Linked DNA regions of Rattus norvegicus. The protein of the gene in region 3 interacts with the protein of the main gene of each other region in a pairwise test. Links are inferred from orthologs where the notes say so. Each region holds a gene or a part of one and is shown on either strand. Other genes may lie near its edges. The genes, in order: Trim27, Cdkn2c, Nif3l1, Rabac1, Dhps, Natd1 and Dmrtb1.

Region 1 (4,341 bases), on a different chromosome or scaffold from region 3:
CTACATGACTGGAGCCCATGAACATCTTGCCTGGCAGGCGGAGTCATGAAACAATCACAGTGAAATGGCAGGGTTAGGTGTGCACTCTGTGGACATGACCTGGTATGATCGAGCAAGCACAAGTTTCCTGGATGTGTTTACTTGGTCTCAGTAAGTAATCCATGCCCTGATTTTTTAGGGGGTGCTTATGGGTTCCTCTCCATACAATGTTTCTATTGGTTTGTCTATCTTTCCTACATTTCTAATTCCTCCATGCCTGCATTCCTAGCACTTGGAAGGCAGACAAGGCAAGACTGGAACTTCAGGATCACTCTTAACTATATAATGAACTTAAGATCAACTGGGGCTACCTAAGACATCCTAAAAAACCTAGAGTTCTAAGATTATAAACCAAGTGTGGCAGTGCATACTATAATTCCAGCACTTGGGGAGACTAAGGCAGGAATATGGAGAGTTCAAGACCATCCTGGATTGCATAGTGAAACTATTTCTGAATAAACAAATGGTCAGCAAAATGGCTCTAGAGCAGTCAAGAAAGATTTTACTTGAATCCAGCCAAACCCACTCATTTATGTATTAGACATGGCTGTTTTTGAGATGCAATGACTGAGGTGTTGTGATTTAGCTTGTGTAAATTAACAAAGCTAAAAATACTTATTACTGGCCCCTTTCAGAAAGTTTGCTAAAATCTGACTTGAATTCAACTGTTCCAAGGGCCCCTTATACCTCTTTTAACCTGGATAAGTCTTTCAAAGGTATAAAGTATACAATATAACCTTAGACAAAATTAAGGCTAAAGATCAATTTACTGAGTATATCCAAAGCAGTGTGACTGACACACTGGCACAAGTATTTCTCTCTGGAAAATCCTCCCAAAGCTGATATGATACATTGTATGTTTAAGTTTAGTCTACACAAGATCACTGAGAAGTTTCTTCATCCTGTTTTCAAGCAAGAGGTGTCAAGATCGCACTCACTCAGAGACAGGATGGAGCTAAATGATAGGAATGACAGACACCAAGGGGAAATGCTCTGCTTAGAAGTTTTCATTACACCCTTGCCAAGGCTATCCTGATGCAATGCCTCTCTGCAGGCTGGAGACCTGGACCCTTACCAGGAGCTCAGCTCGTGCCTGCTCCCCCTGTGCCCTCCGTCTCTTCTTCAAGTCTTTCACTCTTCTTAGGTGGTCCAGCCGATTCTGGATTTGCTCCTGAAGAAAGTAAACAGTCAGCCAATTCAGAATTTTGCAGATCTCAGCATCAAAATAGCTACTCTGCTTATGACACAGGAACCCAAACTACAGATGCCAAGGCCGGGCTGGACTCTGTCCTCAGACCACAGTGCCATTCCTGGGAAGAGCCTAAAGCACAGGGTCCAGCACAGCTGTTTTAGAAATTTGTTAAACTCAAGCCACCTACCAGTTCCTAGAAGCATTCTGCACAGGTTATGAGACATCTGGGTAAAGAGGCTCAAAAGGTAAGCTATTCCTCAGACGAATACAGAAAAAAATGATTTATTTTCCTCATGCACAGAACTGGTAAGCATTACTAAATTACAACTTTATTTCCAGTGAGTGAAATGATACAGCTTTGTAAACGTGACTGACATTTGGATGAACTCACATTTAAACAAATCTAACTGTTGGTACATATCCCTGCAGTCCTCAAAACAGACTCATTATCACTTGAGAGTTACTTTATATGTAACATTTTCGAATTACTGTGTAGCTGTGCCAGTGTTTATTCAACAAAGGCCTCTTCAGGTCCTGTGAGTTCACTTCCTCTTCATTAAGTTATCTCCCGAGTCTGAGAGTGGCTAAATGATTTACTCAAGCAGTAAAGAGCTCTGTTCATTTCCATTAGGTTCTAAAACAGGTTACAGGGAAGCGCTGGGGGCTTAGATTAAGTGATAGGCATCGGTCGATGTGAATTCGGCCAGCCAACAGGGGCTGTCTGGTTTGATATCCTGGGCCAGAGCAAGTTCGAGGTGTTCAAGGCCTATGGAAGTGGACATGGCTCCATGTGCATCTCCTTTGTCAAGGGAGGGTCTCCTCGCGCCGTCCCAGCCGCGGCACGCGTTGAGGCAGTTAACAGGGGGCGCTCGGAGAAGGGGTGGGGGTGGGGACGCCTCTGGCCTCGCCAGCTACAGGTTCTCCTTCCGAGTCTGAGCGCGGAGGCTCCGCAGCCGACAGGGAGGAAATGACGGCGGTGGGCCCCACGTCCGGCTCGCCATTTTCTCGGCGGCAAACCAGGAAGCCCCCGGCTCTCCTCTTTGTCCGCCGGCCCGGCCCTACCTTGAAGCCTTCCACAGCCTCCTCCAGCGGCAGCACGCTGTGGCCACGGTGCTCGCGCGAGCGGTCGCACACCACGCAGATGGGCATCTGGTCCTGCTCGCAGTACAGCTTCAGAGGCTCGCGGTGCTTCTCGCACACGCCCATCTCGCCGTCCGGCCCCGACGGCCGCTCGGTGCGCAGTTGCTTCACCAGCTGGGTCACGTTGGCCAGGTGCCGGTTGGGCCGCATGTGGCGCTGCGGGAAGGTCTCCCGGCACTGCGGGCACGACACGTTAGTCTCCGCGGCACCCCAGCAGCGGGCCAGGCACGCGCAACAGATGTTGTGGCCGCAGTCGAGCATCATGGGTTCCACAAAGTATTGAAGACACACGGGGCAGGTGGTCTCCTGCTGCAGGGACTCGGCCACGCTCCCTGAGGCCATGGCGCGAGCCGGCTGGGCCGCAGGGCATGAGCCCGGAGCCGAGCTCTGGCAGAGCCCGGCGCTCTCTCTCGGCTTCTCAGATCCGGAGCGGGGTGGGGCCTCCGGCGCGGGGATCCTAGACGCGTGCGGAGCTCTGGGGCGGCCAGACCCGTCCCCGCACAGCTGCACCTCACGGACAGCGCGGGAAGGCCTGGGCCCCAGGGCCCGGCTGAGAGCCGAGCAGAGGGGTGTCGGGAACCCGGCGCTGCAGGATGGCTCACCGGGCAACGTGGCCGCGTCGGAAGGGATCCCAGGGCCGCGCAGACTCCTAAGGGCCGAGCGGAAGAGGTGGGCCGGGGGCGGGGCCTGGCTTCCCGCGCCGCTCTCCTCCGGGGCGGGAAGGCGGGTTTCCTCGGCGCAGTCCTGGAGCCCCGGTACCCAGCCCGGGAGTCGGTGGTGGTTGCCCTTTGCAGTGGGAGCAGGGTGTCCCTGGCAGTGGGGTCGGGATACTCTAAGCTTTGGTGGATCCGTAGTCCTTTGCCGGGTGTCTTCTTAGTGCCTAGGCCTTGGCTCCTTTAAATGCAAGGTGGCTTTGCATAAGTGCCGGAAAACTGGGCTGAGAGACCAGCTAAGCCCCTCCCAGTGTGTGAAGCACTCTGAAACACACCCAACTCCAGGCGATAATAATCGCCAGAAAAAGGTTTTATTATCAGCAACTTTTCTCAGTGGCAGAAATGGAGAAGCCCACTTCTACTTCCACCCTAAAGTAAGTTTGTTTATCGTTCCGAGCCTCATTTTCTTCTCGCGTGAAATGGGGGATTGATAGAATCCAGACCAGAGTGCTCACCAGACCCTGATACCTACTGAAGTCCTTCCCCTTCTCTCTAGCCTTCCGGCTACTAGGGAGCTGCCTCACCGAGAGCCCGCTTGTGAGTCCCTAACTTCTTAACAGGCTCCTCTGGTGCCCAGTTTCTCACTTCCTCAAGTGAAGTAGCCAGACCAGACATATCAAAGAGCTACTTGATGACACACTTCTTCCCTACCACCTGCTGAGGAAGGAGCCTGGCCGCGGGTTCCTATGAGACCCTAGAAGAAACGACCCTGATTCTGCCACGTGGGCTTCATTCTCGAACACTCCCCAGCCCCCACCTCCCCCTGGCGCCTGTGGCGCGGCCAGAAATTCTGATTGTCCACCGCCTATCTGCCTATGGCGCTAATAAAGTTCTTACTCCCAGCAGTCTGTTTCAGTGTCTTCCTTGAGCCCCCATACACTGTTGCTTTCAGGAATTTTCCCCATCCGTGAGTTAAACTTTTTAAAACACAGCTTGAGCCATAAAGATTTTTATCCATTAGTTTAAATGAAGTGTCCAGTGCATTGAACGGCATTGAGTAGAACCTAAAACTTGCTTGTTTCTGCCCAATTGAGAATTCTGCGACGACCCGAGGAGGTCTTGTAGGCTAGCTTCTTATCACAGAATAGATTTGCAGTTCTGTGCCCTGTCACTTCTGCCGTGGCCTTTCCTACTCTCCTTTGGGATTGACTCAGTGTCTGGACAGGGAATTTCTGTATCCAGAGCATCACTTCATTGGATTCTGCTCGGTTCTTTCCCTTGGGACAAGAAATCCGAGGCACTAACAAGTCTTGCTCA
Region 2 (2,806 bases), on a different chromosome or scaffold from region 3:
TTGTTTCATTTTATGGGTTTTTTTTGGTTCTTTTTTTCGGAGCTGGGGACCGAACCCAGGGCCTTGCGCTTCCTAGGCAAGCACTCTACCACTGAGCTAAATCCCAGCCCCTCATTTTATGGTTTTAAAAAGTCACCTAACCTAAGGGAAGCACCACGTCAGTGGTGCTTTTTAGAGCTGATGCTCTTCCAAAAACTACCTTTCAGCCAGTTGACTCAAATTTGAGAAAAGGGGGTTGGTTGGACATTACAAGGAATTCATACTGAAATAATTTCAAGCCTGATCTTCGAAATTGCTGGGCATATTCTTTTTTGAAGCCAAAATACTAATATGAGCAGAGCCAGCCAATGGATTCTTTGAGGGGGCAGGGGAAGGAGATAAGAGGACTGGCTCCACTGCAGTCACACTGGCACCAGGCTTCCAGTGTGTTCCTTTCTAATGCTAAGACTTATGCTATCATGAACTCTAACACACTTCTTACAAAGGGGTGGGCTGTAATCACAGGTAAAAATCACAGGAAAATGTGGTCCTCTTATGAAAAAATGTGTTTTAATTAGGCAAAAGATGCATCAGGACAAATAATTTTTAAAACAAAGTCTCCAAGTCAGACATTGAGAATGGCAAAGGGTAAGCAAGGAAAGAAAAAAAAAATCAAAGATAAAATATCCAGAAGAAAGGCACAGATAGCCATATGCAATTACATGTTAGAAATCAGAATTTTGACAGTGAAAAAGATGTTTAAATATTTCATAAACTTGTAGTAAGATTTCCACTTAGGCAGTTTTGAAGGATTTGACTAGCTGCTTAAAATATGAAAACAAAGCAAAACGAAACCCTATATTTTAATAAGTGATAGTAAAACAGGACAGCCAGCCAACTAAGGGACAAAGAGAAGGCGGTGGGTGGAAAAGACCACCACACTCACTGCAGGCTCGTGGCTCCCCCAACCCCATTCGCCTCCATCAGGCTGATGACCTCATTTCTTCCATAGAACCTGGCCAAGTCGAAGGCGGTGTCCCCCTTATGGTTCCGATGCCCCACATTGCAGGCTGTGTGCTTCATTAGGAACTCCACCACAGGGAGGTGGCCTTCTTTGGCAGCCAAGTGCAAGGGCAGGTTCCCTTCATTATCTTCGATGTTAACATCAGCTTGGAACTCCAGCAAAGCCTGTACAGTGTCCAGGAAACCTGCTCTGGCAGCATCGTGAATGACAGCAAAACCAGTTCGGTCTTTCAAATTGGGATTAGCACCTCTGAGGAGAAGTCTCCTGGCAATCTCCGGATTCCCAAGTTTCATAACCTAGGAAAGAAGTTAAAGATGGGAGAATCCCTCCAGGCTTGAGCCACAGCAATATTTAAAGACATTTATTTGTCCTATTTAGGTAACTATTTTTGATTCAATTCTTGAAGAAGACCCATAGAATACAGTTTGGAGGTTGTGGCAGTAGGAAATTACCAGTCAATAAACATAGAAGAAAACCTACAAAAATTGATGAACTAGCCTAAATCAGCCCAGATGTAGTAGAATAAATTGGTCAATAAAACAGAATTCTTGAAACACGAAGAAATTTGATGGCTAATTTGGTTATCTTTCACAAAGACCTGTGTGTGTGTATTTTTCCCCCATGAATTCTTTTTCTTTTTTTTATAAAGGAATGTAATTTGGGTAAAAGGCCTCCTGTTTGTTTATTCATGCTCATAAACTATACCTGGAGTATTAATTCTGGAAGATTAAATGAGGATAAAATTTATTTCCTAATAGCTACTGAAAACCAATGATGGGAATCTTTAAACTTCCCCCATAAGTGTCACTTCCTATAGAATGGATCCTTTAAAATCCCAGAGTTGGCATTTTCTTAAATGATTAGTTTTAACAAGGCTCCTCCAAATAGATATGCTTGAACTGTCCAAGCATTAGTATGTTTTCTTTACAGGCTAAAATATTGGCTACTGGGAGCATTCCATGCTTAGGCTTCATTTCAAATTACAGAATATTACTCGGCCATTTAGGTATTAAATTAAGCCACTGTGTTCTACATTACTTACTATATCGACTTATTTTGAACTAAGTTGGTGATGTGCCTCACATCAGGGAGGAAATGATTGCATGGCTACCATCCCTGAAAAGAATCAAATGGCCATCCTACTATATTAATAGGACTACTCAAAGTTCTAACTAGCTTTCTGGTACTCAAGTGAACAAAAAGTAAAAGCAAGATATGTGATGTGTGTGTTGGAACAGTCAGCTTTGTCTTGTGGTTTGAGTCATTTAATAATCAACTGGTGAGCCTGTCTAATTTCCGTTTGCACTCACTACATATGAGAATAGCTATTTGTAAACTACCACTGTTTTGAAAGTCAGAATAGACTATCAACACTTGCTATCAAGGCTCAAAATATTTTATATTACACGGAATTATTTACTGCTGTTTAAATGTACACTTTAAAAGCTATCTTTAAGTAAAAAAACTCTCATAAGTAAAAATACTTTGTATAACAGCACTTGAGAGCAAAAATATATTTAATTAACTTGTAAAAATTATTTTCATTAACATGCCAGAAAATCCAAGCATTTGAGCTGGTTTTCATTTGTAATTGGGTACACTCATAAGACTCTAAGTTATATAATAATATAGTAAGTGGGCTACTTACTGGATACTCAATATTTATTAGAATCAAATACTAATCCACTTGAAAATATGAACAAAGTTGATTATATCTCTTTAAAAATGTTTTAAGAGAGTACAAATTAATAAAATATATTTGGAGCGAATAATAGTTTATAAGTACAAGTACACACATTGTCA
Region 3 (4,359 bases):
CGACAGATATAAACATAAAGCGCATCTTCAAGTGAAACTTAATTACCAAATTTAAGCAACACATTATTTTTAATATTACATAAAAATGGAAAAACCTGTTGCCCCTAAAAACAATTAAAACTTTATTAGGAAGACATTCTAAAATTTCAAAGTATTTGTAAGGAAATCATTAAACATGAAAGGTCAAGAGTTTTCTCACCGAGCCCTTTGGCCAACCAGCTGTTGACTCCCTGGGGTGCGGCGTCATAGGCCGTGTGGGGAGAGTAGATGGCGACTCTGTTCTCCAGAGCCCGGATCACAAGGCGCTCCTTCCAGGTCTTCCAAGTTATGTGCTTCATGGGCCGGAAGATAGGTGGATGGTAGGAGAGAATGAGATCTGCCTTCTTTTGCAGAGCCTCCTCCATGACCTCCTCCGTCAGGTCATTGGTCAGGAAGAGTGTATTTACAGTATGGGGCGGGCTTGGCTCCACCAGCAACCCCACATTGTCCCAGCTCTCAGCAAATGAGAGGGAGGCAAAGTCATTCAAGGAAGAGAGAAGAGCCTTCAGATCCATGAAGGAACGGGAAGAGCTGCAGATCCACGATGGGGCACGTCGCACACTTGTAGGGACCACGTGTGCAGATGACAGCATACGGAAACCAGGTAGAAGGTTGCCTGGAATCACAGTAAGGAAATGGTATTTATGTACCATTCACTTCTGCACTTTGAGGCATAAAGCATGGGAGTCAAACAGCTCTCGCCACTGACCCAGATTTAAATAGCTGCTCTGCCCGCCCTGCAGCACGATGGGCACGGCCAAGTCACCTGACCTCTCCATTTCCTTCAAAAGCATTATTATGTCACTTAGCAGAGTATGATGAAATATAAATGCTCATCCCCTCTGATACCCCCCTGCTCCCCCAGCACAGCTTCAACCTTAGACCCTGCATCTCTGCTGCACACGCGCACACACACACAAAGATACGTACTAGACATAATTAGAACTAACTGACATATCAAGGGCTGAAGATGTAGCAGCTCAGTTGGCTGAGTGCTTACCTACCATGCACAAGGGTTTAGTCCCCAGCACCACAGAAACTGGCACTTGTCTGTGATCCAGTAGAGGACGAGGTGCAAGGGCAGTGTCAGCTATGCTGTCAGTTCAAGGCCAGCCTGGGGTACATAAGACCCTGTCACAAACATCATTTAAAATGTTGAGTACACGAGCAAGAACTGAGGCAGATAGGTCACTCTACAAATGAACAGAGCCAAGCAAGAAAAGGCCAGAGCTGTCGCTCTGAACATACAGAGCTGCTGCCCTGAACACACGACAACTGCTACACAGAGAAACAGAGAGGAAAAGCACAGGGCCCCTACCCACATCTTCCATGGTCATCAACTGAATGGTGGGAGGGCAGTGCCAGCAAAGAACCAAAACAATTGAAACCAGAGAGATATATTTACAGTGTGATGTGTGATCTGAGAGTTAATAGTAGATTTGAACAAAGGAACATGTTTGCCTCAAACAGGTATTGTAAAAGTATCTTTTATTCACCTGGTGTAATTGTCGTCTCCCATCTGTCGGCTACCCTGGGCCCAGTCCTGGAAACTTCTAGCCTCTGTACAATCTTATCTAAGCCTAGAATGGTTTCAGCCCCTAGGAATTACTGCTAAATAAGCTCACCCTTTCTAAGCTCCGGCTGGCTGGTTCAACTCAGCTGTTCTGGCTTGAAACTCTTCTCCAAGCTGACTGATTCAATCTGGCTTCTCTCTCAGCCTCTGACTGAATTGCTCTGCTTGGCCTCAAACTAATCCTGGCAATCTGTTCTAATCTTTTGGCCGTTTCTTGTTCTCTGACTCATTCTGTCTTTACCTGTGTCTAGCTTGTTTTCTCTTCGACCTGTCTCTACAAAACTCTCCTGGTAAAACTGCCCCCGTCTCCCTCTCTGTGCTGTTCTCTCTTCAGTCACCTCTCTATTCTCTCTGTTCTGGCGGGAGTTGGGCATATCCTATTCTGTCAACGCTTTCTCTAATTCATCACTTTGTTTGTCACTCAATTAGACATCACTTTCAAACATGGGTGCCTCCTTCCACAAACTAACCTTCATTGTTTGGGAATAAAGGTGTGTGCTAAGGGCGGAGCCACCCTACAACTGAGAAAGGTTCCCCCCCCCCCCCCCAGTAAGTAACACAATCTCAGGGGTTCACAGTGATCAAATATCCTGTAACAAGCTACCAACAAAACTAATGTAACTGGTAGTTTTATTGTTATTCAATAAACTTCTATTGTGAGAGGACAAGAATGTGTCCCGGTCTGTTTCTGACACAATGTGCTCACACTACAGACACATTTAAAGCATTATTTGAAATATGGGGCCTTCTGAAAGCACTTAAGATTGGAGAGGACTTCACTCCAATACCACACCCTCGCATACGCACTAGCTTGAAAGAAAAACCGCACTAGTGGGTGTGAATGAGAACTCCGGGAAGGGCGAGTGAATCGGGGCTGCAGTACATGGCAGAGATAGAACTATCCACTGCCAATCTACATTATCTTTAGCCCTCTGAACAGCCATTTGCTATTTTTCAATTACACGAGCGCTCTCTTTACACTCACGTACGGTTCTTCCTACTTTCACTTAAGCATGGCTCAAGGCCTTTTCCAGAATAATCAAGGGCCGCGTGGCACAGCCTTTACTCCTGGAGTCAGGACCCTCGCCCCTCCTGCAGCAAGGCAGTTCTCCTCCGCAATGTTCCTATGTTCATGTTCCCCGGCACCCTACAGTCACCACAGCCGGCCCCGATGTGCACCTCCAGCGTGAAGAACAGACAGCCCCGCGAGCTTTTCTCTCCTCCACAACCCACGAGTCGCAGAAACTCTTTTGGTGTGTCACTTCCGCTCTGCCCTGAAGCTCCTGGCAATGTAGGAAGAAGATGGGCGGAAGTGGTCCGGTGCGCTTTGCTTCCGACTCCAGACGACTGTATGAGGTATCTGGGCGCTGTAAGGTTGTCCGTAGAACCCTCTCGCGGTCAGAGGGGGCCGAGGAGTGAGGTGCATGCCCCACCTCCCCATTCCACCCCTCCCCAGGAGCCCTAGTCCGTGTGCTGAGGAGAGACTGGCGGGAGAGTAGGGCGTTCTCTGCGGAGAGCCCCGCGCCTCACTTCCGGTGGTGCATTGACACTCTTGGAACCCGCAGGCATGCCGGCACCTGTGAATGAGACATTTTTGTTACCGCAGCAGCGGTGCTGAGCGAGGTGTGTAAGTGCGGAGTAACGGCTTTTATCCTTTTATTCCTCCACTCAAACGCCTGCTGCGCCTCACGTTAGTGCAACTTTATTTCTTGGGATACTCGTGGGCTGGAGGTGGTGTTTCTAGCACTTCTAAATACGATTGTGAAGTTAGCAAGACTTGGCATCTGTAAAAAAACTGTGAAGTATGGAAGTTTGTTGTACTTACTGTCTTAAGTAAAGTAGGTGTCCGGGATAAAGGGAGCTCCGGTGCCTATCTAGAGCACTAGACCGGGAGGTAGGAATGTGCCTCCCCTGCAGGAAAAAAAAAAAAAAAAAAAAAACTTTAAGAAAATGGGTAAAGTAAGTAGAGCGCTGCGGTGGTTTGTTGCGTGGGTAGGATCTCAACACATCTATGGTCGGACTTTTATTTAGAGGATGCTATTCTACACTTTTCGTTGTAAATCTACTATAAGGATGAACAAGTATGGTGAGAAAGATAGGGTAAAGTGAACTAATTCCTCTCTCTTTTAGGAGCTTTGAAAAATTAAATAGTGCTCCCTAGAAGCATCAAGAAGGAGAATGGTGAGTATTGTAGAATTATTCTGAGTGGATGATTGGCTGTTTGTTTTTATCCCCTTTGGATTCCCTGGAGCTGGACACAAGCAGATGTGGGTGCTGGGAACTGAACAGGTCCTCCTGCAAAAGCAACAAATCCTGGTAACTGCTAAACCCTCTCAGCAGCCCAGGCTTGGTTTTAAATTATGATTTTTTTTTTTTTTGTAGGCGGTCAGACAGGATACCGAGTATGTAGCTAGCTCAGTGGCAGAGTGCATTCCTAGGGTGAGGGAGGAGAGGGGAGGGGGAGGGGCGGGAAGACTGAGAGACACTGTATGTCCCACTGAGAGAGTACAGAGTAGAGTGAACGCGTGGGCATGATCATTACAATGATATCTCGATGCTGTGATGGCACAGGTCTACTGTCCCAGCATTCAGGAAGCCAACTCGCACCCAGTCTCGTCTATAGGAGCTCCAATCCAGGCCATCCATGTCTACATAGATCCAGAATCAAAAAACACAAAAAGGAATAAACAGGTGTTTAGTGTGCCCTTCCCTGCAGGTGTGAGCAGCACAGGTAGAACCTGAGGTAG
Region 4 (4,428 bases), on a different chromosome or scaffold from region 3:
AGGAGGACAGGTGGTTCAGGACAGGCTCGCTCACCTGGCTCCCAGCCTCTCCCTACACAGACCCTGTACTCACCCAGGACCCAGAAGACAGCGGAGCCAGCACCGGCCAGCCAGAAGAAAGGGAAAGAGACACCACCAGCCAGGGCGTACTGATGTGCTGGGCTCACCTCACGGCCTGGGGACAGATGGTGTAAGACAGCCAGCCGTTCCCAGAGGTAACCAGAGCCACTTTGCACCCATCTAGTGTGACTCTGGAACCTTCCATGTAATAATACAGACTCCTCACATCAGGGCCTCCCACCCCTGGCCCTACCCCACCTCCCCAAAGTGACCTGTCCCCATAACGACCTTCCTCAGCTCCGCCCCTGCTCCACCTTCCCCAGGAGCCCCAGGCCACCTCAGTCTAGGGCCTGATGTTCCAGTCTGGTTACCAGGTGGCTCCGAGCCAAATCTGACCTGAGCATTTTTGTCCTTTTTTTTTTTTTTTTTTTTTTTTTTACTTTTTAAAGATTTATTATTTTGAACTATGTGTATATGCCCTGCGTGGGCATATGTACACGAGAGTTCAGGTGCCCGAGGAGGTGGCTATGGTGCACCCACCTGACTTGGGCGCTAGGAACCAAACCCACATCCTTTGCAAGAACAGTATTCAATTCTAACCACTGGGCCATCTCTCTAGACACTTAGTCTGATTATTATTTTTTTTTAAAGATTCTGAAGCCCAGGCTTATTTTGAACTTGGAGCAATTCTCCTGCTTCAGCTTCACAAGTGCTGGAATTCCAGGCACAGGCCAGCTTCTGTTTTGGGGATGTGTTCTCTGATGAGCTTCACAAGAATTTGGTTTGTGAGGGTTGGAGAAGGTGACCCAGCAGTTAAAAGCACTTGTCTTCCAGAGGGGCTCCTGCATTACACATTTTTTTTTCTTTTTTTCGGAGCTGGGGACCGAACCCAGGGCCTTGTGCTTGCTAGGCAAGTGCTCTACCACTGAGCTAAATCCCCAGCCCACACATTTTTTAAGGCTAGGACATGCTGGCCCTCTTCTTCAACCCTAGTACTCTGGACACAGAGGTGGGGGGAATCTGTGAATTGGAGGCCAGCCTAGTGAGTTCCTGGGAGACGACATAATTGGAACGAGACGCATTCCCTGCTCTCAATATATATAGAATATATATGCTTCCCCTCCCACCCCCCCACCCCCTGGCCAGGCTCTCCTATGCCTGAGAAACGTGTGCACCCTAGTGACCACTATCTGCAGAAGCCAAGTTCCAGTATTCCTTTGCCACAGCCCATCTTTGTCTGGTACTTAAACTTGCTGGGTCACGAAAGACTTGGTTTTTTTTTTTTTTTTTTGGTTCTTTTTTTTCGGAGCTGGGGACTGAACCCAGGGCCTTGCGCTTCCTAGGCAAGCGCTCTACCACTGAGCTAAATCCCCAACCCCCGAAAGACTTGTTTTAAGTCTCCTTGGAAACCCTTGGATTTCTCCTCAGAGAGTCTTCCTTGACACCTTTCTTCCCAGTGGGGCCTTTCCCCTCTGAGAATCCGAAGGTTTGGGAAGGAACACGGATCTAAGCCTGCATAAGGTCGCCATCTGGTGTCCAGTATGGGTATCTGCAGCTGATGTTTTACGTCGGGGTTTGGGAGGAACTGGATTAAGTCATTTACCTGAGACAGAGGTGCCAGGGGCTTTGGGGTCTCTCTGGGTTTGAGAAGCTGAGACTGGAGGGGAGCACCTGGTAGGTCTAAGCCCTTAAGGACCAGGTTAAATGACTCTAGTGTGCATCTCGGTAGGGGCCGACTTGAGTCCCAAATATTCGGAGGTTTGCATTCCGTGAGACCACGATCAGAAAGGCTTGGGAAGCCATTTGGGCAGGGGATTTCTCACCAAAGAGCACAAGCTTAGACTGCAACGTGCGCAGATAGAGAATGTAACAGGCGCCAAAGAAGACAGCCAGAGCCACCAGCAGCATGGGGGATGTCACCCTGGAAGAGTGTGGGAGACAGGAGTTAGGTATCCGAGGCTGCATCAGCCAGGTCCCTGTAGCTTTGGACAAACAGAAGTTACGTCCTTCTAGGTCAGCGAAGGTCACACTGCACCCTGGTCAAGTGGATGCAAGAGTACAGACTGACCAGGTCTTGTGGTGACAAAGGTGCTAACTGGTCTGGGCGGGGCCTGGCAGCCGGGGGCGGGGCCGGACTATCGAGGGCGGGGCCGCGGAGGCACTCACACGCAGTACAGGATGAGGCCCAGAAACACAAACACGTAGTTGCTTTGATAATACTCCACGTTGCGAACCAGGCGCTGGCAAAGCTCGCCTACGTTGCGGGGTCGCGAGAAACGTTGCTGGTCCACGAAGGTGCCCCAGGGCCGGATGGTAGCACGGCGCCGCTCCAGCCACTCTCGACCTGCGCCAGAGGGAATCAGCTTGGGTAGCAGGGTCCTAAAGGACGGGGCAGAGAAGATGAAGGCAGGAATAGGGTACCGGACCCCAGATTCTAGCATACATGGTCCCAAGGTTGACCTTGAACCCTGGGGGGGGGAAGGGTCCTAGGAGGAAGGTAACACAACTGAGTCCCTCCCAGGGGGTGAGGGGCTGAGATGTCTCTGAAGGGGAGAGATCTATGCTTGCGGGGGCAGGGACTTCTGCGTCTCGGATCTGGGGGTAACACCCTGCTTGCTCACGTGGCGCTCAGCCCTTCCACTTCGGCATCCTTCTGCTGGTCCTTCTGGGCCGCCATGTCTGCGCTGCAGTGAATAGAACCGCTGTAAATATCCCCGAGCCCAGCAGCACCTAGGCGGCCCCACCCGAGCCGGACTCAATGGAAGTGGCGCCGCTGGGAGCTCTAGGGGGCGGTAGTTGTGCCTCGGAGCATTGTGGGTGTTGTAGTCCTCGTGGCGTCAAGAGGCAGGTTTGCCTCGCAAGACATCTTGGGAGATGTATGCTAAGAGCTCGGGAGCCACTAGGCATTGTGGGAATTGTAGTTTCAAGAGGCGCAGAGTGGAATACAGCAGGTGGGCTGTCAGGACAGAGGATTTGATAGGAGTTGGAATAGCAAAAACAGGCGAAAACAGGCGATCTACATGCTTCCGTGGACCATGCAGAGCTGTCGTTCTGACTCCAGAAAGCTGATTCTGTTTGGGCAAGCCTGGGAAAGAGTTCATTTACCTTTTCTTTCCTTAAAAGAAAAGTACTGGGGCTGGAGGGATGGCTCAGTGGTTAAGAGCACCGATTGCTCTTCCTGAATTCAAATGCCAGCAACCACATGGTGGCTCACAGCCATCTGTAATGAGATCTGATGCCCTCTTCTGGTGTGCCTGAAGCAAGCTACAGTGTACTCATATACAATAAATAAAAAATCTTTAAAAAAAATCTTAAAAAAAAAAAAGGAAAAGTACTTACTTTGGAAGTGGGGCTGGAGAGAGCTTACTTGTTTCTCTTTCAAAGGATCATAGCTTGGTTCCCAGCACCCACACCCAGTGGTTCACAACTGCCTGTAACCCCAGCTCTAGCGGATCAGATATACTCATGTGTACATGTCCACACTCAGATACACATTATTTAAAAATAAGTGTTTCGGGGGCTGGAGAGATGGCTCAGTGGTTAAAAGCACTGACTGCTCTTCCAGAGGTCCTGAGTTCAAATCCCAGCAACCACATGGTGGCTCACAACCATCTGTAATGGGATCCAATGCCCTCTTCTGGTGTGTCTGAAGACAGCTACAGTGTACTCATATACTAAATATCAAAATAAGTGTTTTTATTTTAAAAGAAAAGATTTACTTTTATATGTTTATGTGTGTGCGCCACCAGAACAGGTTTTAGATCTCCTGGAACTGGTGTTACAGGGCAATCATGAGCAGTTGGGGTTCCAGTCTGGGCCACTCAGCAGGAAATTGTGTTTGGGTTTCCCACTTGAGGTCCAGCATTGCTTCAGAAGGTCAGTGGACGACCATATAGTGTACAGTTAGCCTAAAGACTAATGAGGGACACCACAAGGCCAGCCTTGGGAACCATTTGGTGGCAAAGGTCAGCTGGGTTTGACAGTTGTGGAAATCATTTCAGTTTCTTTTTGAGGACTACGCAAAAGTCTTTCTATTTCATAACTCTCAAGTCTCTGCTCCTCAAACACAGCAAAGATGGAGAGCAGCCATGTGGGAGGCAGGGTTTCCGGAGAAGGCAGAGGTATGTTGCAGAAAGTGGCAAGCTAATTGGGAGAATGCAGGAGCCTTGAATACAGGGGATTTTACGTTTGGTGTCTGGGGCAATTGGGAAAGGAGTCCTTTGGGACAGTGGAAGCCAGGACCCTCAGGTAGAGATGTGATGGGGTGGTGGGTGGTGGTAATCAGGTTCCTGAGAGAGGAGGCTCGTGGTAGATGGGTTTTGAATCAGTGGATAGGTAAGAGAGGATGGTACCCGTGAAGGCTGTGGG
Region 5 (4,204 bases), on a different chromosome or scaffold from region 3:
GATTCAAGTCCTTTTGCCCTCCTGCATACTACCCATTGCAGATCTCCCTGCAGCCAGATGTGGCATTTGGGCACTGCTAGCCTATAGAGGAGGTTAAACGAAGGGGAGACCTTTATCTGTGCATCTTTGGGGAAATAGTGTCTCTGATATTTTTATAACAGGAATTTTCTGGGTCTTCTGGCCTCAGTCAAAACATCATGTGTTTGGCAGTTTTCTCCAGTCACCTTTTCCCTCAGCTCTGGTTACCAATTCCTCCAACCCACCTTCACACTTAACAGAGTGTGTGTGTTTTCTAGGCCAGAGGACAACCTCAGATGTCACTCTCATTCACCTGGTCCCTAAACCTGTGTGTATGAGCTTGTGCACGCATGGCATGCTTGTGGAGGTCAGACAATAATGTAAACAGGTCCAGACTCTTCTATCATGGGCCTTTGGCTACTGAGCCATTCTTCAGGTCCCATCCCCAAGGATCTACTGGTCTCTGCTTACCCAGAGCTATTACTGGTATTGCCAACCCCCTACCCCTCTTGAGTTCTGGCAATTAAACACACATATTCAATCCACACTCTTGCTTTTTTGCAAAGCAAGGACTGTACAGACAGCTATTTCCCTAGCCATGCCCGTCCCTTTTGTTGAGAAAGGGTCTTGCTTTCAATAGTTCAGGCTGGCCTGGAACTCGAGATTCTTTTGCCTCCACCTCCTGATTGCTGGTTTAGCCACCTAATGGTTTCCTGTTCATCAGACTATAGTCATCAGGAGGGCAGAGTCCATTGCTAAATCGCAGCGCCCAGCAGAGAGCACTATTTCTAGTGTAGATTACACAAACTGTAGAATGAGGGTGCCCCTGTCCTAGGTTCAGTGTATCATTAAAGGGGACGCATGAGAAAAGATTCTCAACAAACTTCTTTCGGCAAAAAGATGGTGGTCATCCCTGTCTCCCCAGAGGCCTATGATCCAGTGAAAATTGAACTATGGTTGTAGGGGGAAAAGAAGTTTGTAGCGACTCGAGGAAGCACCGAAAGAAAACACTCCCATTTGACAAAAGTCTGCAACTAACTTGTCCAAGGGCTCCGTCCTAGAAACAATCACCTCGCTCATGGGGGGACAAGAATATTTGGACAGACAGTTTGCAAATCAGGCACTTTTATCTACTTGAAGCTGAATCTGCCTACAAGGAATAACAAACAGCTCCTGGACCACATGTACGGAACACGGGAATAAAATGGCTGCTACCAGGCCCGCAGGCGCTGCCAGGGCCATGTGACTCAAGTAGCTTCCGGTACCCCTCCCCCGCCCCCGAGTCGCATTTCCTGGGCTCCGGCGGACCAAGCTGAAGGATTTGGCGGGTTCCAGGGCACCGAGACTGCTGTGACCAGAGAACGGCCGAGAGCGCATGGAGGGGACCCCGTCGGGGGCGGCGCCCTCCTCGGCGCTGGCCGCTGTGCTCAAGCACAGCTCAGCGTTGCCGCCCGAGAGCGCCCAGGTCCAAGGTTACGACTTCAACCGCGGGGTAGATTACCACGCGCTTCTGGAAGCCTACGGCACCACCGGCTTCCAGGCCACCAACTTCGGGCGCGCGGTGCAGCAAGTCAACGCCATGGTGAGGCGCCGGGCGACCCGGGTGGGAGGCGGGGCCGCTCCGTCCGCGTGAGTGCCGGGGAGAGGCGGAGTCCTGGTTAACTAGTGTTCCGCGATGGGAGGAGCTTGGGGTTAAAATCAAAACGGGCTTGTAGGAGGAGCTTAACGCTGGGAGAGCCCTGGATTCGCTTTTCCCACTGGAAGGAGTCCTGAAGAGAAGACACTGTGTTGTTCTTAAAAGGGAACAAACCCCAAGTGACAGACCAGGACCTGGAATGGGAGGGTTAGGGTCTGCACAGGGGTTGTGCTTTGGTTTTGTAGTAGTCTCCCTGAGTGCAATCAACGTCTGGAATCCAATTCATGTGGGGTTCCTCCACTGAGGTTTGGAGTTTTAGTGCAACTTTACTGTGCCCCTATGCCCAGATTGAGAAGAAGCTGGAACCACTGGCAGTAGATGAAGATCATCACGAAGACCTGACTCAGAGCCGCCGCCCACTCACAGGCTGCACCATTTTCTTGGGCTATACGTCCAACCTCATCAGTTCTGGCATCCGGGAGACCATTCGCTACCTCGTGCAGCACAATATGGTGGGTCCACGTTAGATCAGTGGCCCCAGCCTCTCTGGGCCAGTAGACAAAAGGGTTATTGTTCATTTAAGAAACATGAAGAGGCTCAGAGATTAAGAGTATTTGCTGTTCTGTGAAAGATTTGGGTTTGGTTTCCAGCAACCACCTGGTGACTCACAACCATCTGTAATGGGGTCTTCTGTGTGTCTGAAGAGAGGGAGAGTGTATTCACATACATAAAATAAATCTTAAAGGGTGTGAGGAAATGGAGTATTGCTTTTAGACATACTGGCAGTTTCTTCCTTCCTTCCTTCCTTCCTTCCTTCCTTCCTTCCTTCCTTCCTTCCTTTGTATATGAGCACACTGTTACTGTCTTCATGTACACCAGAAGAGAGCATCAGATCCCATTACAGATGGTTGTGAGCCACCATGTGGTTGCTGGGAATTGAACTCAGGACCTCTGGAAGAGCAGTCAGTGCTCTTAACTGCTGAGCCATCTCTCTAGACCCATACTGGCAGTTCTTAGACTTCAGCCTCCTTTCTGAGTGCTGGGATCACAAGAGTGTGCCACGTTTTCTGGGTCTGCTTTAGGCTTGAGTTGGTTTTGTCATAGAGCTCATGCTTTGGGTCTGGATGAGCTCAGGCCAATGTTAGGGGCACTACTTTGAAGAAGGGTCTGTGTTGTTGCTGGTGACCACAGGTGGATGTACTGGTGACCACTGCTGGAGGGGTGGAAGAAGATCTCATCAAGTGCCTGGCACCCACATATCTGGGCGAGTTCAGCCTCAGGGGGAAGGAGCTCCGGGAGAATGGGATCAACAGGTGAGGCTCTGAGTAGTGGTAGGAGCAGGGAAGCCGCGTTGAGGGTCCCAGTGTCTGATGCCCTCATGGATCCCATTTCTAGGATCGGGAACCTGCTGGTGCCAAATGACAATTATTGCAAGTTTGAGGACTGGCTCATGCCCATCCTAGACCAGATGGTGCAGGAGCAGAATACAGAGGTAGGGCTGGAAGGGCTCAGGTGGACCTGCATAGTTGAGTCAGAAGACATGGGCTAATACTGATATTCTCCCCCTTGTTAGGGTGTGAAGTGGACACCTTCCAAGATGATCTCCCGGCTTGGGAAGGAGATCAACAACCCAGAGTCTGTGTATTATTGGGCCCATAAGGTGGGTTGGGTGGGGACAGTATTCTTGGGGACAGTACTTAGGCTTTGACTTGCAATGACTTGTTTGACTTAGTAGCCACCTAAAAGTCTCAGTAATCATTCTTGGTCTTCCCAGAGTTAGACGAGGAATGTCGAACAGAGAGGCTAGGCGTCACTTGACTGCAGGGTTCTCCTAGCTATGCCCCTACACTCCTGGGACTCGGTGTAGTGCTTTAGAAGTCGGTGGGGCCTGACCCAGGGTACCATGTGCCCAGGGACAGTGCAGCTCAAGAGTCTGGACAATAAGACACTGCTCAGTGTGCCAGTACCTTCTTCAAGCCATGTGTGGTTTTTCCTCACGTCTGCATCCACATGCAAAGCAGAGGGTCATGTGCACCAGAGAAATCAAGCAGCCTACTCAGGTCGGGAGGGATGCCACTGGGTTGGGCATCAGTTTTGCTGGGGTATGAGGTGTAGCTGCTAACTGGTCCTATCTCCACCAGAACCACATACCTGTGCTGAGTCCTGCACTCACAGACGGCTCACTGGGTGACATGATCTTTTTCCATTCCTATAAAAACCCAGGCTTGGTCCTGGACATCGTTGAAGGTGAGGTGCTAAGGCCCTGGGAGAAGGGTGAGAAAAGCCCACCGAGTCCAAGGCCTGACCTCTGCCCTCTCTCCCAGACCTGCGGCTCATCAACATGCAGGCCATTTTCGCCAAGCGCACTGGGATGATCATCCTGGGTGGAGGCGTGGTCAAGCACCACATCGCCAATGCTAACCTCATGGTGAGTGGAGTGGCTCTTGGCAGCCATCCCCACCCTCTGCTCTGAGAGATGGTGGTATTAGATGTGCACTACAGCAGTGCACTCGATGGGCCAGAGTCCCTGTCCTCTTTGGAGTTATGTTG
Region 6 (4,388 bases), on a different chromosome or scaffold from region 3:
GCATATTGGGGGCACAGAGGATTCTGGGAGGGATTGGAGTGAGCCTTCTTGCAACAAGTAGTGGTCCCAGAGCCTGGAGAGCTGGTTCAACAGTTGAGAGGGCTTTTTGCTTTTACAGAGGACCCCACTTCAGTTCCTAACACTCATGTCTGACAGCTCACACCTGCTTCTAACGCCAGCTGCCTGATCTGATGCTCTTATTTGACTTTTACACACACACACACACACACACACACACACACACACACACACACACACACACACAAAACACAAATCTTTAGGGGCTGGAGAGATAGCTCATTGGTTAAGAACACTGACTGTTTTTCCAGAGGTCCTGAGTTCAATTCCCAGCAACCACAGGGTGGCTCACAACCATCTGTAATGGGATCTGATGCCCTCTTCTGGTGTGTCTGAAGACAGTGACAGTGTGCTCACATACATAAAATAAATAATTTAAAAACAAAAACAAATCTTTAAACACATACACACAAACCCTGAGTGGCTGAGGGAAGTAAGAAAAGGCCATGCAAGGGCCCAACCTTTCAGCCTTCAGATGACAACTCTCAGAAGGCAATCAAGGATCCATTCTGGACTAGTTGTCCATCAGCCTTGTGCCTTGGTCTCCCAAGCACGGAACAGTGGCTACACGCCCAGCATTTTCAGAACGTCAAACTGGAGCCATGTAACTTGGGTTCCAGTCTCCTCCACAACAACAAACTCCCTCCATGCTCCCTGTCACAGCTGCTCAGGACTTAGACATTTCTTCCCAACCCTGCTCACACTGCTTCGACTTGTACAGTACGAAGCTCCCCACTCTATCACGTACCACAGTATGCTCCCCCTCGACACAGCCTTAGGGCTCCTGGTCCATGGCATCTGTCCTCTTTCCAAGGCATTTTTAGGAACCCACAGGTCAAAGCCACACCCCAGTTCACATGTCCAGGTCCTATATTATTCGTCCCCTTGATCTCTTAGCCTTATCCTACCTGTCACGCTCCTTTATGCCTGCACCACTCCTGGGTGCCCTCAAACACACAGTGGGTACTGCAGGGCCTTTGCTCTCAACTACTCCTCTCACTTGCTGCCTTTCTTCACCGCTACAGCTGTTTCTTGTCTCTTTCAGGTCTTTACTTAAATACCACCTGCTTGGAACTTGATGCCAAACAGCAGCTCTGCCCCAATATACCCTTTCCTTCCGCCCAGCTTCACTTCTCCAAGGGCCTTTGTTTTGTGAGATGTTACGCAATTCATTTGAGACCCATCTCCCTCTTTAGACTGCCAGCCCCACAAGTCCTGGGCATCTGAAGACTGCTGGTAAATGGTAGGTACTCAGTAAATTACTAGCCCAGGCTGTGCTGAGGAGCTGAGGAGTGGTTGCCCGCCTCTAGTCACTCTGTGTCCCCATCAATGGGGCAGCAGGTTGCAGAACGGTTAACTTTTAAGAATATGGTCTGTTCGCAGCCAGCTCTCAGAGTACTGTCCTTTTGACTGGACCCATTTGGAAGGGAAAGAACGAACAAACGAACTAGCCCAAGGGTTTGGCCTTTCTCTCTGTGGATCTGAGGTGCCTCCACAGTCACCTAGAGAAGCAGAGCCTCCCTGGAACTAAGAAAAACTTCAGAAAAGAGGATCTGAAAAAAAAAACCTCAGATAAGGCCTCTCAAGTGATCAGGGCCAAGTGTCACTGTCAGCTGAGCTACCATCAGCATGACAACAGGTCTTGTTTCTCTATGGAAAGAGTATGGCATGGGGCGGCTGGGCCCAGATTTGAATATGACTCTGGTCTTGTTAAGGCTGAACAGGTCACACTTCCTGCAGCCTCAGCCTCAGTTTACTCATCTATAAATGGGGCGGTATGTCACAACACAGGAAGTAACAGCTGCCGCCACAAAGGTTAGGTGGCACAAATGGGAGACTAGGCCTCCTCTGCTTGTGACCAAGTGCAGGTTGGCTCAGGAAGTCAGGATAGGGTGCTACACTTGACTACTTACAACCTACTGGCTGACCTCACACAAGTGCATCCATCCAATCAAAATAAGCGCAGTGGCTAAGTCCGGTCTCAGATGTCCCCAGAGGGTCCAGCTGGGAGGAGTGGGCTACAGAGAGTTCAAGGTCCCATATTCCACAATCTTTTCCAGACCTTAGGGAAATGGGAGGAGTGTCGGTCTGCTGGTACAAATGCTACAGAAGATGAGGCCTTGACCTCTCTATCTGGTTTGAAAAGTAACCATTTATCTATGTTTATCAGCACTTGCTGTGCACCAAATGTGTCATTCTGAACCTTTACTGCCACTGCAGCCAAAGCGGTGTGCACTACAGCTATCCGCACTGCAGATTCTGGGAGACCGAGGCACACACAGACTAGACAAGTTGGCCAAAGTCTCAGAATCACTCACTACCCGCCTCCTCCTCCAGGTCACACATTCCCTGGGTTATGCCCTAGGCCCGCGCAGGCTCCCCCAGGGCGGCAGGAAGCAACCGAACACCCGGGGGTTAGTGGAGTGGCAGGCCACCAGCGACCGGCTCTCTGAGATCCAGGGTGGCAGCCCTCCATCCGCGATGCCGAAGGCCGGCTACGCTAGCAGGTGCGGGCTGCCCGGACCGGCGCGCTCCGGCGGTGCCAGTCGGGGTTCGGGAGCCCTCCCGCCCGGGGATCCGTCCGCCCGCAGGTCCCGCCCCGTCCCGCCCGCGCGCGCGCGCAAACAAAGGCAGCGCGGTACCGTTGAGGCGCACGGAGAACTGGCGGCGTTGGCGGTCGTGCTCCACGCGGATGGGGCCTCCCTGTTCCAGCGCGCTCGGCGGGGTAGCGTGCGCCATCGCGCGCACCAAGACTGGGGACCGCGGGCCGCAGCGAACTGACTCTTCGGCGGCGCGGGCCGGAGAAGGGGGCGGGGCCGGAAATCAGCTGTGAGTCACGTGCACGCGCGCACGGTCTGTTTGGATACATTCCTGGAGTCTCTTAAAGAGACCGCGCTGCGCGTTTCGCTCGCGGCTTCAACAATGATGTGCTGGCCCATCAAGGGCACCGATTGTCTTCCTGAATGCTCCAGAATGATCATTAGGACCCACACGGACCCATCTGAAAAGCACGCAATGACCTGTGGGGCAATTCTGAACTTCCCCGGGACAGCCATCGAATTTTAGGCATTGGCCTCACTGCAAGCCTGAGGCATAGATATGTCAGACCTCTTTTACGCAAGGTATATCTACTCTCAGCTGGAACCGTGCGGGCTGGCGCTATGCAGCCCATCCACTCCGGGCACCTGTAGCTGATTTTGAGAGATTACCCCGAGGCATATTTAGGACTGGGTGAAAAGCCACCCCTCCTAAAGAAAGGCAGAAATGTGAGGTCCCTAGGGAGCTAGCTACCCAGGAATCAGTGTTTCCCTGGAAGCATAGTATTTGGAAAGCCTGCCCACCGAGAATGTTCACAGAATCACATTCTGTTAATTAAGGTGCACATTTGATGTCCGTATCTAAGAGACCACAGATAAACATACAGAAAGTTTGAGTACACCTCAAATGGAATGCTTGAAGGTTGTAAATTGAAACCTGTACAAAATGTGTGTGTGTGTGTGTGTGTGTGTGTGTGTGTGTGTGTGTGTGTGTAAGAGACAGAGGAGGGCGATGGCTGGGGGGGGGGTGTGTGAGGCGCGGGACAGACCAACCAGGAAGTATTTTACAGCTAAATGGAGATCTCCGTGGGTTGATGTAGCTCTGCCCCCTGACTTTTAGCACTACTGACTAAACAGCTTTTCCTAAGAACATCCTATCAAATGGAACTACACAATATTTACCTTTCAGTATCTAGTTTCTTTGCTTCCACCTGTCATCAGCCATGTTGTTACTGCTATCATGTTCATCACTGTGTCAGAGATTTTCCAGTGAGCATGTACTAGTTTTCCATCACGTGTTAATAGGTTGTTGTGTTGTTTTGGTTCGGGGCTGCTATGAGTAACGTGGATGTCCTCTGGCCAGCATTCCCTTAGGTAGCTCCCAGGAATATACTGCTGAGTTTTATAGCTGGTCTATATTTAGTTTTGTGAAAAACTACAAGATCCTTTCCATATTACAATCTTACCTACGTTGCTACAGATGGCTGGGTAAGCTGCAATGGGCATTTTGTCATTAGTGGCAGTGACTGGCTCTTGAACCTTTTCCCAGCCTGCCAGGCCATTTATATATCCACTTAATGAACACTTTCCCCTGGTTTTTTTGCCCACAGATTGTTCCTTTGACTTCTTCCAATTATTTTTATTGCTTGGTTCGGGGCCAGACATAGTATTGAGAGAATCTTTTCTGAGCAAATAATTTCCTTTCCTTAACAAGTGTGTGTTGTTACCACAGCATTTGTAAACAAAAGAAGGTGGAGGTGGGTCATTATATGC
Region 7 (4,282 bases), on a different chromosome or scaffold from region 3:
ACTGTTCCATGGGGCTGGTCTGACAGGAAAGGACATCTAAGCCGCCTTGTGGAGGTTCTCGCCCACCACTGGACTCTGCTTCAATTTCAGTTCCTGGCAGTGCCGGTGTGAACGGCACAGCCCAGGCAGTTTCCACTGTGGTCACAGAGACACCATCTCCCCTCTTCATTTCTAGCCCCGCTGTCCTTGAACACTCACTCAGCCATGCTGTTTTGCTCTTTCAGCCACCTAAGGACCTCTCCAGACCAGATGGCAGCTGGCTCATCGATTAAGAAACCTCTCTTGGGGTTGGGGATTTAGCTCAGTGGTAGAGCGCTTGCCTAGCAAGAGCAAGGCCCTGGGTTCGGTCCTCAGCTCCGAAAAAAAAAGAAAGAAAGAAAAAAAAAGAACCCTCTCTCACTGATGCTTTGAAGAACATTATTTCTCCCCACAAGGACAGGATCCCAGAGGGCAAGGAAGGTGTGTTAGTCAGTTACTTGACACTGGGACAAATACCCTGGCAGTTTAAAGAGGGGATGACTCGTTTTTGGCTCACAGTTCAGGGCTCTTAGCCCCATCGCCTGTGAGTCTTGGTGAGGCAGAACATCCTGGTGCTAGCTATGGTGAAGCAGAACAGTTCATTTTCACCAGGAAGCGCCAAGAGAACGATCTGCTAACAAGCTTTCTCTTTCTCACCTTTCATCCTATCCAAAACCCTAGGCTGAAATGGTGGCACCCACATTCAGGACCCACCTCTCCTACTTAAGTAAATAAACTCTCTCTGGAAAACACCTACCAAAATGCATCCAGAGTTGTGCTTTCTGGGGGGTTTCTCACCAACCCATAGGACAATCGAGAACAGCACCATCAGGGCCAGCAAGATGGCTGGGCAGGTAAAGGCACCTGCCACCAGCCTGACAGCCCGAGCTCCATCCCAGGGAAAGAACCAGTTTCTCAAAGTTGCCCTCTGACCTCTCTTTCACACATGCGGGGATTAGCCACAAGTGACTCCTTCTCCCCACCTCCTTATGAACACCCGAGTTCAGCACATTTTAAAATTCTATTTGTTGAGAGATGGAATACAGATGTGCTCTCACAGGATTACAGGTTTAGGTCTGCCTTCCTCATCAGACAGATAGTTCCTTGGGGAAAAGATTTTTTTTTACAAAATCCCAGAAACATTAGGAATGATTAGCATTAATTTCTGAAAGTCTGCCCCTCAAGGAAGAAACATGTCCAAAGGAAGGAGAGTTTAAAAAAAAACTAAAACAAACAAACAAACAAACAAACAAACAAAAAACCACATCTTCATCCCAAAGAGACGCTTTCCAAGAGCCTCAAAATTTACACTACTTGAAAACGGCATACTTCACGGGCTAGAGAGGTGGCTCAGCGGTTAAGAGCGCTGGGTGCTCTTCCAGAGGACCCAGGCGCAATTCCTAGCACCCACATGGCAGCTCACACGAATCTGTAATTCTAGTTCCAGGAGATAAGACACCCTCACACAGATATGCGTGTAGGCAAAACACTAATACATTACAATAAATAAATTATAAAATATAAATACTTTTTTTTTTAAATTCCACAAGAAATCGTACTTTAATCAGGTACGCAACACGGCATAAAGAAACAATATTATTTATGCACAAAGCGAGGAGTGAGAAAAACCGTAACATCTGGCCAAGTAGCTGAAAGTTTTATTCCCAACCACATCCGGTAAAACAGAAAAAGTGAGTACAGGTGCGTTAGGCCATACACTGCAGTTAAGATAAACTAGACTCCGCTAAATGAGAGAAGGGTGCGCAGGCACAGTCTCAGGCGAACAGCCACCCAGAAAGCAAGTTCTAAAAGACTCTCTAGTAAGAGAAAATGGCAGGCAGGGAGTGGGAGGAGGGTTGTCACGCAGGCGCAAGACCGCTAGACATGGGAGGGGGAGGGGAAGGGAAGCCGTGCGAGGCGTGCTAGAGGGTCCACAAAAAGGCGCCACTGCCAAAGCTGCCCAGCTGCCATCTTTTTTTCTTTGCAAAAGTACAAAGGCAGAAAATTGCATCTCAACATAAACCCCCCTGCACCGCTCACTCTTTCCCACCAGCCTTTTCCCATTGCAGTCAGAAGCCGCCCACCCAAATCCTTGTCTGGGAACGTGTTCTCAAAGCGGGGGTTACCTGGGAAAGGCGCCTTTCCCACCCCAGCACCAGTCTGGGACTCCAGCTTAGAGCCGGGAGGCTGCAGGCCTGATGCAGGCCAGAGGAACCGTCGGCTGCACGAGGCTGGGCTTACCGTAGTCGGCGAACGGCAGTCGGGGCACGGGCCGCACTGGCAGGTGCTGATCCGGGCAGCAAAGCTCAGGCCTGGGTGCCTGTGGCCTGAGCTGGGGCAGCCACGCGGGAGGACGGTCGTGCAGTCCCCCGGAGCCCCCCGATCCAGGCTGGAAGGTGCTGGGGCCTGGACGGCCACTTGGGACCAGTTGGAAGGCGCTCGGGCCTGGGCTCCGGGCCTGCGGGGACCTCTCTAGGAAGCAGGTGGCCGCGGGGCCTGGCCCAGCACCTCCCAGAGCCGCCCTAGGCAGTGGGCAAATGCTGGAGCTCGAGGCAGTGGCCGTCGCGGCTGCCGGAGCCGGAGCCCTAGGAGGCAGCTGGGGACCCTGCGTGCCCACGGTCGCCCCCTGCTCCTCCGTAGCTTGGTTCTTGAGCACCTTCTGGGCAGCCATGATCTTCTGGCGCTCGGTGATCAGGTAGCACTTATCACAGATGCAATGCTTCCAGCGGCATTTACCCGCATGGCCCTTGACTGGTACCAGATAGCCGTGGTTCCGGCACCTTGAGCACTTGGGGGTACGAAGCATCTTGCCGTTCAGCTCTGCAAGCTCTGCTTCCAAACACAACCACCACTTCCCGAAGCTGCAGAGCGAGTGAAGCAGGAATGAGCTGTGCCCCCATAAATCCCTGGTGCAAGGGACATTGGATACACTTGTAACAAAACAGCTCACTGAGTGTCCCGAGAACTGCAACAGGGCTCTTGCATTTTTCCCACTTTCCAGGTGTGTGTGCTAAATTTACAGTGTTTCTGTGTGTTGGGCCATGGGGTGCGGAGTAAACTCAAAATAGAATACTTATTGCATGTATGTCATATGAGTTATTTGAAAGTTTTTGGCACTTGAATTTTCAAGCTTTCTGTTCCTACCAAATTGTAATTGGAAAATAGGTTTTTGTTTTGTTTTGTTTTTTTGAAAAATGGCGGACGTGTACTCAACGGTCCAGAGGTTTAAAACTCCTGAGGATCAGAGCTGTTAGTAAACCCATACTATTGGAAAGTTCCAGAGAACACAATGTTTCTCCTCCCTGAAGCAGCTGCTTCTGCTTTCATTTCTCTCCTCTGTAGAGAAAAAAAGCAGTCATGCTTCCAGAATATTCTTAGGAGCTTAGTGCCGTGTTGGTTACTTACAGGCATTGCAGAAACCCTGAGTTTTTGAGTTCTGTTTGTGTCAGCACTCTGGTCTGAAAATTTCATGCTTAATAATGTTATAAAGTAAAAGAAACATGATATTCCGGAACTATTTTGAATATTTGGGTTTGGGGTGTGTGTGTCTGTGTGTGTACGCATGCGTGCGTGCACGCGTGCGTGCGAGCGTGTTTATTGTTTCACATAGTCTTTTAATCATCTTTAGGAAGCCAAACAAAACTTACAAGAATTCCTTAGCCACTGTAATACAACACTGATGGAGGGTGCGTACTTCTCTCAGGAACGGGAGCCATAGAAGTAAAACATTTTCAAGAACCTTCCCGAGATATCTGCTCATCCAGTGTGGGGCACGCAGCCCAGCGTGTACAGATCTAGCTTGGGGGAGCTTGTTCCAGGACGGTGTTCATACCCAGAATCTACTGATATTACAAGGAGCCGCGATTTGCTTGTTTTGTGACAAACCATGAGTTCAAGTCTGTTTACTCTTAGAGGAAGGGAACACCCAACTTTGCTGAGTAGTCCTACCCAAAAGAAAAAAAAATTACACACACACACACACACACACACATACACACACTACGCACGCACGCACACACGCATGCACGCACATGCAGACGTGCACATACACACATAAGCAAACACAATTTCCATTTTAAAAAAAATCTAATAACCCACACACAACCTGTCATTTAAATACACACACACACACACACACACACACACACACACACACACACACACACACACACATCTGGGTTAAGGACATGTGCCTCTATCCTGGCTTTTGTTCTCTCTCTCTCTCTCTCTCTCTCTCTCTCTCTCTCTCTCTCTCTCTCTCTCT

The links.
Region 1: the proteins of Nif3l1 (region 3) and Trim27 interact in binary tests that used the Homo sapiens proteins (3 or more experiments, as listed by UniProt). The two-hybrid records come from large-scale screens. The link is inferred for Rattus norvegicus from reciprocal best matches to the Homo sapiens genes NIF3L1 and TRIM27.
Region 2: the proteins of Nif3l1 (region 3) and Cdkn2c interact in binary tests that used the Homo sapiens proteins (3 or more experiments, as listed by UniProt). The two-hybrid records come from large-scale screens. The link is inferred for Rattus norvegicus from reciprocal best matches to the Homo sapiens genes NIF3L1 and CDKN2C.
Region 4: the proteins of Nif3l1 (region 3) and Rabac1 interact in binary tests that used the Homo sapiens proteins (3 or more experiments, as listed by UniProt). The two-hybrid records come from large-scale screens. The link is inferred for Rattus norvegicus from reciprocal best matches to the Homo sapiens genes NIF3L1 and RABAC1.
Region 5: the proteins of Nif3l1 (region 3) and Dhps interact in binary tests that used the Homo sapiens proteins (3 or more experiments, as listed by UniProt). The two-hybrid records come from large-scale screens. The link is inferred for Rattus norvegicus from reciprocal best matches to the Homo sapiens genes NIF3L1 and DHPS.
Region 6: the proteins of Nif3l1 (region 3) and Natd1 interact in binary tests that used the Homo sapiens proteins (3 or more experiments, as listed by UniProt). The two-hybrid records come from large-scale screens. The link is inferred for Rattus norvegicus from reciprocal best matches to the Homo sapiens genes NIF3L1 and NATD1.
Region 7: the proteins of Nif3l1 (region 3) and Dmrtb1 interact in a two-hybrid assay, tested with the Homo sapiens proteins (2 studies listed by BioGRID and IntAct). The two-hybrid records come from large-scale screens. The link is inferred for Rattus norvegicus from reciprocal best matches to the Homo sapiens genes NIF3L1 and DMRTB1.

Annotation. Positions count from the first base shown.
Region 1 is NC_086035.1:48,243,345-48,247,685, forward strand, and holds the start of Trim27 (zinc finger protein RFP), read right to left. Parts: upstream 2,714-4,341; coding exon 2,294-2,713; intron 1,762-2,293; exon of another isoform or gene 1,623-1,761; intron 1,557-1,622; exon of another isoform or gene 1,419-1,556; intron 1,211-1,418; coding exon 1,115-1,210; intron 1-1,114. Other genes in the region: uncharacterized protein LOC134482717, read left to right, coding at 2,712-3,040, 3,645-3,681. UniProt on the Homo sapiens protein: E3 ubiquitin-protein ligase that mediates ubiquitination of various substrates and thereby plays a role in diffent processes including proliferation, innate immunity, apoptosis, immune response or autophagy.
Region 2 is NC_086023.1:129,639,209-129,642,014, forward strand, and holds the end of Cdkn2c (cyclin-dependent kinase 4 inhibitor C), read right to left. Parts: intron 1,300-2,806; coding exon 922-1,299; 3' UTR 528-921; downstream 1-527. UniProt on the Homo sapiens protein: Interacts strongly with CDK6, weakly with CDK4. Inhibits cell growth and proliferation with a correlated dependence on endogenous retinoblastoma protein RB.
Region 3 is NC_086027.1:67,472,858-67,477,216, reverse strand, and holds the start of Nif3l1 (NIF3-like protein 1), read right to left. Parts: upstream 2,846-4,359; 5' UTR 2,792-2,845; exon of another isoform or gene 1,536-2,791; intron 1,171-1,535; 5' UTR 1,047-1,170; coding exon of another isoform or gene 1,040-1,046; intron 656-1,039; coding exon of another isoform or gene 633-655; coding exon 200-632; intron 1-199. Other genes in the region: Ppil3 (peptidyl-prolyl cis-trans isomerase-like 3), read left to right, coding at 3,791-3,793. UniProt on the Homo sapiens protein: May function as a transcriptional corepressor through its interaction with COPS2, negatively regulating the expression of genes involved in neuronal differentiation.
Region 4 is NC_086019.1:89,692,176-89,696,603, forward strand, and holds the start of Rabac1 (prenylated Rab acceptor protein 1), read right to left. Parts: upstream 2,843-4,428; 5' UTR 2,738-2,842; coding exon 2,682-2,737; intron 2,440-2,681; coding exon 2,227-2,439; intron 1,982-2,226; coding exon 1,884-1,981; intron 176-1,883; coding exon 74-175; intron 1-73. UniProt on the Homo sapiens protein: General Rab protein regulator required for vesicle formation from the Golgi complex. May control vesicle docking and fusion by mediating the action of Rab GTPases to the SNARE complexes.
Region 5 is NC_086037.1:39,988,534-39,992,737, reverse strand, and holds the start of Dhps (deoxyhypusine synthase), read left to right. Parts: upstream 1-1,319; 5' UTR 1,320-1,393; coding exon 1,394-1,600; intron 1,601-2,001; coding exon 2,002-2,166; intron 2,167-2,845; coding exon 2,846-2,967; intron 2,968-3,049; coding exon 3,050-3,146; intron 3,147-3,227; coding exon 3,228-3,314; intron 3,315-3,795; coding exon 3,796-3,901; intron 3,902-3,978; coding exon 3,979-4,082; intron 4,083-4,204. UniProt on the Homo sapiens protein: Catalyzes the NAD-dependent oxidative cleavage of spermidine and the subsequent transfer of the butylamine moiety of spermidine to the epsilon-amino group of a critical lysine residue of the eIF-5A precursor protein to form the intermediate deoxyhypusine residue.
Region 6 is NC_086028.1:46,086,987-46,091,374, forward strand, and holds the start of Natd1 (protein NATD1), read right to left. Parts: upstream 2,844-4,388; 5' UTR 2,818-2,843; coding exon 2,721-2,817; exon of another isoform or gene 1,124-2,720; intron 1,046-1,123; exon of another isoform or gene 897-1,045; coding exon of another isoform or gene 827-896; intron 1-826.
Region 7 is NC_086023.1:127,678,360-127,682,641, forward strand, and holds the start of Dmrtb1 (doublesex- and mab-3-related transcription factor B1), read right to left. Parts: upstream 2,893-4,282; 5' UTR 2,825-2,892; coding exon 2,260-2,824; intron 2,238-2,259; exon of another isoform or gene 2,145-2,237; intron 1-2,144.